Daphnia pulex: one gene and its partner. The protein of the gene in region 1 purifies or fractionates together with the protein of each later gene. This does not show direct contact. Links are inferred from orthologs where the notes say so. Each region holds a gene or a part of one and is shown on either strand. Other genes may lie near its edges.

The links. The genes of interacting proteins can lie anywhere in the genome.
Region 2: the proteins of protein argonaute-2-like (region 1) and protein Gawky-like purify together in Drosophila melanogaster (affinity purification with western blotting; 17 studies listed by BioGRID, with this or other methods). This does not show direct contact. The link is inferred for Daphnia pulex from reciprocal best matches to the Drosophila melanogaster genes AGO1 and gw.

What each region holds. Positions count from the first base shown.
Region 1 is NC_060022.1:5,186,182-5,189,366, forward strand, and holds part of protein argonaute-2-like, read right to left. Parts: intron 3,174-3,185; coding exon 2,977-3,173; intron 2,918-2,976; coding exon 2,694-2,917; intron 2,626-2,693; coding exon 2,378-2,625; intron 2,317-2,377; coding exon 2,188-2,316; intron 2,114-2,187; coding exon 1,947-2,113; intron 1,889-1,946; coding exon 1,704-1,888; intron 1,622-1,703; coding exon 1,528-1,621; intron 1,446-1,527; coding exon 1,209-1,445; intron 1,140-1,208; coding exon 940-1,139; intron 871-939; coding exon 829-870; intron 761-828; coding exon 652-760; 3' UTR 1-651.
Region 2 is NC_060018.1:6,011,161-6,014,820, reverse strand, and holds part of protein Gawky-like, read right to left. Parts: coding exon 3,370-3,660; intron 3,245-3,369; coding exon 1,691-3,244; intron 1,623-1,690; coding exon 1,170-1,622; 3' UTR 1-1,169. UniProt on the Drosophila melanogaster protein: Required for gene silencing mediated by micro-RNAs (miRNAs). Silences both polyadenylated and deadenylated mRNAs. Required for miRNA-mediated translational repression and mRNA decay. Not required for miRNA target recognition.

The DNA of each region.
Region 1 (3,185 bases):
GATTTTGTCGTTTTTCTTTGAAGTAGATACGGTCGAGGTCGGGATAAGGGGAAATGCTGATTGGGCAATTTCACGATTTGCTTGGTCCGTACTACATCCACATGCTGAAGGGAGGGGGAAATGCAATTGTAGTTGAGAGCTACTAAATTATCTCTAACCCTTTCTCACACCGCTCTTCCCGTTACTTCGTGTTCAGAGATGATTTCAAGGGATAGGGGGGAACAAATTCAAGTGTTTTTTAAATTGCCACAAGGGAATTAAACATTTTAAGTGCAAAGTCTCGTTTAAAACCCCACCGCAGTATGTGTTTCGACTCCCGCCATAAGCGTGAAAAATATAATGAAAGACTTGACGGCCGTGGACAAATTATTCTTTTGCGCCGGGGATGGCTCTGTTAAAAGGGACGTGTGAAATGCTCCTCCTTGCACGACAGATCAGAGATGTGGTGGTGATGATGGTTGGTGACATGAAATATGTGTTGGATATTGTGCTCGCAAGCTGACCTTCCAAACTAGCTAGAGAAAAACAGCGTCAAGTCTCGTGGAAATACAACAACCCCACACTCCTACTCCATCCTGATCCGCATCCGATATACACGTGATGACCAAGAGACAACTTACTGGGGAGGGAGGAAAAACTTCACGATGACTTTTAAGCAAAGTACATGACTTTCTTGGTATCCGCGTGAACAGTGATAGCACGAGCCATGGCGCCTGGCGTGCGATCTTCGCTGCTGCCACTTTGATGCGAACCTTCTCCACTGTTTCAATAGAAATAGAAAATTTTAGTCATTTTCTAGGCGTTGATTTAACGTTCAAAGAAATGTACCTGGTGTAACTCTTAATGCAATCCTGTAGCGATCCTTCCCCACTGCAAATATTGGAAATCAATAAAGGATTAATAAAGTCTTGTTGCCAACCACCGTCATTTAAATATTACCTGTCGTGCTCCTTCTCCACTAAGTGGTATCTGGCACGGAAAGCCACCAGATGGGCGTAGTAAGCCGGCGCCGGAATGGAGACGGAACGAGTACAGCGCACATAAGTATGACAAAGCTGGTAAGTTAAGCACTGCAATTCGTCAGCGTCAAAGTGGTTGTCATCCCACAAAACGTGATAGTGGCTAGGACGGCTAGTACCCTGTACATAAAGAAAAATACATTAAATATCAAACCACTGAATAAATATTAAGGAAATAAATTGTCTCACCTGAATGCCTTGATGCGAGCACAAGTAAAAGTCGAACTCGGTTGGGTGTGTAATGCCCGCGTCGACAGTGGTACCGGCGGGAATGTTTCCAGATTTGCCAGATTGCTCTTTCTTGTCAGCACAGAAGAGCCTGGTGTGATGGCGCTTCTGAACCACGATGAACGTGATACCTGGTTTGTAGTCAGGTTCCAATTTTATGCATGCCTCGCGGATAGCGGTCAACTCATGTTGCAAAACCTACAGAAAACGTGTCGTTTATTCGAACGTATTTCTTTTTTAGAAAGCCAAAGTTAGTTTAGTCTAGTAGAATGTTGCTTACGGTGCTAAACTGGCCTTCACTGGCGCCATCGCGATACATGATAATTCGGTTGGGTTTGAACCTTGTAGTTTTGTAGAACAAGATCAATAATTCCCTGGGAAAAAAAAGGAAAGTTCATCAGCCTCAAAAACACATGAAACTCAATATGCGGATTATCAAAATGTCAAATTTCTTACCGGACCATAGCACTGAGCTCTTGAATAACTTCTTGGCGGTGTTGTTGGACGCGAACAGTTGCAGCGTATCTCGAAGGATGAGCATCCATCGAGCCCACAACGGCTGCGATCGACGGCTTTTTGTTGTCACCAGCTGGAGGATGAGTTATATCGGCCCCAAGGAAAATGACAGGCTCATTGAACACCTAAGAAAACAACACACATGAGCATTTTCGTGTGAAAAGTAGTTGATTTACGTTTTACCTTAGGACGAATGGTAGGAACAAGGATACTGTTAACACCACCAAGTTTAACGTTGATCTTCAGACACAAATTGGACAGAGTTTGAGGCGATGTTTTGTTGACATTCTTTGCTTGTACGCACTGTGTGGCCATGCCAAGTACAGTATCGCCAACACGTTTGACTTCGGCTATTGGAATAATCAAATTAAAAACCTTCATTATTGTCGATGTCGACACAAGTAGAATGTGTAAATGATAGTACCGTAAACAGGAGTTTTGCCCGGTAGAACGACACACACCAACTGGAGACCTTGGAAGGTTGACTTGAGGTAGCGGAACATAGGCTCCACTTGATCGGGGCCAGTGGCATATTTGCAGAAACAAGGTTGGCCTAAACAATATTCAATTTAATGACAACCCATTCTCATAATCCACAATTATTTCGTTATTACCAATGATGGGCATCCCGGCGTCATTACTTATCTTCTGCAATTGCTGTGTGAAATTTCTTAGCGCATCTTCGCGAACTGTTCTTTGGGGTGCAAAGCAAGCGATTGCCCAAACGCGAATCTCCACTCCGGTGAAGAATTGCTTGCCACGCATATCCCAGACACCTTGATTAGGTAGCGCCTGTTGCTTAGTCCTTCCCCCATATTGCAGTTTTGGTGGCGGAAGCACACGACCGCGCACTTCCATCATGCTGCAAAACAAAGTCGAAGTTACATTTTTAATATGTCACTCGTAAAGAATTGCAAATCAATAACTGACCTATTGGAAATGGTCAATCCAAACTCCTGAACGTAGGGATCGTTATTGAAGTCGGCCTTTCGAATAAGATTATTGATCTCACGCTCACGGTCGGGAGCCGATCGGGCAGTGGCTTTGATCATGGTCGATGTCTGCATATCAGTCAGTTTCTTTATGCATCGTTGCCCGGCTACAATGTTGCAAACTTCCAGCGGCAAATAGGTGTGCTTGTGCTCTTGTCCAACCTGCAGGAGAAAAAAATTGATTAAGAGATGTAGGGGGATATGACCAAATTAGAACCAACCTGCAGGCAAGGCAGATGCGGGTAGCGCAATTTCATTTTGTATTTGTCCAGGAAATATTTGGCCACTGTACACTCGACAGTTTGACCGTTCTCCAACTGCAGTGGGAAAGACTGCATTTGAGCTGGACGGCGAGTAACGTTGCATACACGATATTTTCGTCGCATTGTTCCACAGTGGGTAATTTCAATTTTTAAGCCTATGGGGATTC
Region 2 (3,660 bases), on another chromosome or scaffold:
GGGTGAGGGGGGACTGGAGGGGAGGGAGAAGTGTCCTGACTTGGTATCCACGCGGCTATTTTAACCATTTCGAATTGCAATACCTCTCTACATAAAGATATACATCTCCCCACTAGAAAACTCGCACAAGTATTTTCATTTCGTTACTTCCGTGAGGGAATAATTCCAGCTTCGTAAGATGATTGAGTCACGAGAAGAGACGGAAGAGAATGAGAATTTAAAAAGAAAAAAGAGGAGGAAAAATTGCGGGGCTGAAGAAGTGGAGGGTAGGGCACTAGAATTAGTAGTAGTTGTCGTTTGTTGAGGTGGATATAGGAGAACAAACAAATTGCAAGAGGAAGAGAGCATTTGAAAAAAAAAAATATCCGTCGCTCTCTATCCCCTTCTCTCTCAAAAGTTTTTGTTTTGTTTCTGATAACATGGTTTCATGACGGTCTCTGGAACGAGAGACACTCTTTCTTTTTAGCTTTTGAAAAAAGTGGGGGACTTGGAGTGGAGCGAGAGAACACCTCGGTAGTGGCAAATAAAGAGACAGAGAAAAAAAAAACAACTGGCACGCACAAAGTGATAGACCACTCCCACACACACACACAAAACAAAATTATTACAAGACACAACAAGAGGACTTACTCTGACCAAAAACAAAGCCTTACATAGGAAAAACTTCGACTAAATTGAATGGAGTGGTGTGTGTGTGGCGCGAGCGATCATAAGACGAGAGGAAATTATTTTGGGGAGTCACGTGAGAAAAAAAAAACGAAACATAGGGATATCATAATATACTACTACTTTGCTTTCTTTCTTTGTAAATGCTTAATGGCCTCATTGGTGTTTTTCGGGGGAAGATTAAGAGGACGGTTCACACTACGCATCAGTGCAGCAGCAACAGCAGCGGCATTAGGCCATAATATAAGAGTAATATTAAATTTGAAAGAGTGACAACTTTTCCGTCACCGTGAATACGAAGGGATCGGGAGGGTGGAATAACACTATATTACGTCTGGCATACACATTAGTTGGTTGATTGCTCTCAGCTGTGAAAATATTTTTGACGAATTGAACATTACCTTGGTATTTTTCTCTTCTCTCATCTATTCTCAAATTGACACGTAATTTTGTCGATTCTCTTTTGCTTTGTTTTTGAGTCACGTGTGTTTGTATCCTCACTTTTACATGGACTCGTTGCCCAGGAGATCGCCAGGCAGAAACGAGTTGAGCGATGCGTTCAGCGATGACGGCGTGGTTCTCAAATCACGATCCAAGTTCGGAGTAGACCAGACTGAATTGGGACCCGTCGACCATGGGCTCGAACTAGGACCACCGGCACCAGATCCCCAATTATCTCCGGCGTTGGCACTTCCCTTTGAGGCGTTGCTTCCTACACCACCTCCGTTGCCGCTTCCGCTGTTGGAACCGGCGCCAGGAGTAGAGCCCCTGACGCCCCACCCACTGGAGGAAACAGCTTGCTGTTGCTGTTGTTGATTTTGTTGCTGCTGCTGTTGTTGCTGCTGTTGGGCGGGCATGCCAAGCTGTTGCAGCCAGCCCTGCACATCAGATTCGTTGGCTAGATCTGCATAAATCGTCGTGTTTCCGAGCACGCAGTTGTTCAAAGCACTTTGGGCCTGTCATCGAAAAAGTTGAGAGCATTAGATCTTCTATTACAACAATAAAAGGTCGTGAAATACAATACCTTGGCAGCTTCTTCGCCAGTAGAATAACGAATTAAAGCAACTCCATGGTTGAGGTAGAGATGGAAGTTATGAAGTGGACCGTGCTGGACGCACAATGTTTTGAGCGTCGAGCCATCGATCTGCGGGGTCAAGTTACGTAACACGAGCCACGACGACGAACCATTGAGAGAACCGGCCCACGTGCCTCCAGAGCCGGCAGTATTAGTTCCAGGCCAAGGTGAGCGGCTGCCTGCTGCACTCCAGTCGCGGCCGGCAGTCTTTGGGCCGACGCCTACCGAAGGGGTGATGCCTGGCGGCGGACCACGAGGCTTGTTTGGTGCGCTCCACGGGTCCGCAGATGGCGGCGGGGCGTCAGACCAAGACGATTTTGGTGCTATCTTGGCAGAACTGTAAGGAGTCGACGTGGACGGGACGGAACTCGACGACGCCGAAGACGGATTGAAAGACCAGGTGGAATTAGAAAGACCCAGGGTGGGGAAGCCCGATTCATTCGAGGAGCTTGTTCCACCACTTCCCACAGGAGGAGGTGAAGCTTTGGTTGAGCTCTGTCCTCCTTTTGATGCGTTGTTTGAGTAAACGTCGGCCTCATTCAGACCAGACATGGCAAAAGTTCCGGGAGTGAGAGTTGGATCGTCATCTGCCGTTTTGATCTGTGGTCCCTTCCATGGTTTGCCAGGCTCGAACTCGGGAACGAGATCCGATATGGAACCAGAATATGAAGAGGTTCCGGCAGCACTGCTCCAACTATCCTTTCCATCGTTGCCTCCCACCGATCCCGGAGCTGACAAATCCTGATTGGTGTCAGGCCAGCCAGTCTCGGACTGAGAGCGCGAAAGACTCGACCAAGCACCGCCGTCTTGACCGAGGACTGGATTCATGTTGGGAGAAGAAAGGCTGCTACCTAGTGGCGGTTTAGCGTTGCTGGGAATTGAACCCGGAGCTCCACCACTGCTCCCGGGTGCACGACTGAATTCCGACATGCCTAGATCAGAAAGATCCTTGTCGAGTGGCGGGTACTTCCACTGAGAGAGCCGAGATTGTCCAGAATCCTGTAAACTCATCCTGTCCAAATTGGACTGAATGCCGTGAACAGAATCCACTTTGAATAGATCAGATGGTTGGCTCGGTGGAGCCCCGGGCGGCTGTTGATTCATCATTTGGCCTTGTTGCTTGACATACAGAGCCTGTTGGGCGGCGATCTGCTGTTGCAAGCTGGCAATCTGCTGTTTGGTTTTGTTCATTTGAGGTACGAGCTGCATCATGGGACCCCCCATAGGGCCTTGTCCCGGCCTACTAAGAGCCATATTGTGCTGTTGACCAAGCTGCTGAAGTACTTTGATCTGTTGTAGCAACTGATTGAGCAGCACCAGCGTCTGAGGAGCCAGTGGCTGATTGAGAATTTGGGGATTCAAATGACCAGCCTGTACAGCCATTTGGATTTGCTGAACGAGAATTCGTAACTGAGTCGGCGAAGGTTGACTACCGGCTCCTGCACCAGACGAAACGCCAGTGTCCACTCGCGACATGTTCCGGACCATTTGTGATTGATTGACCTGCCACATTATAGTTAATAATAATAAAAACATCAATGACGTTTCATTTCAAAGAAACAAGAGCATTAATTATGAGAAATAGTAATGGAATGCTTATCATCTATTATTCAAAGAAGCATCCATACCTGAGGCGGCATTGGTGGCGGTTGCTGAGGCTGAAGAATTTTGTATGCAGGATTAGGGTTCATTCCCATGCTAGGAGCAGGATTGTTCAATAAGTGATGAGGTGCACCACCACTTCCAGGGTGAACAAAAGGCATTTGTTGACCGGGATTGAATCGAGCGCCCGGAGGATAAGGCGCTCCTCCGTGCGGTCCCATTGGATCGTAACCACCCGAGCCATGGTCATCTCCAAACATCCCACGACCAGAGCGCAGGGTTTCCAGGGCATCTTCCATCACCATGTTGCAATTGCG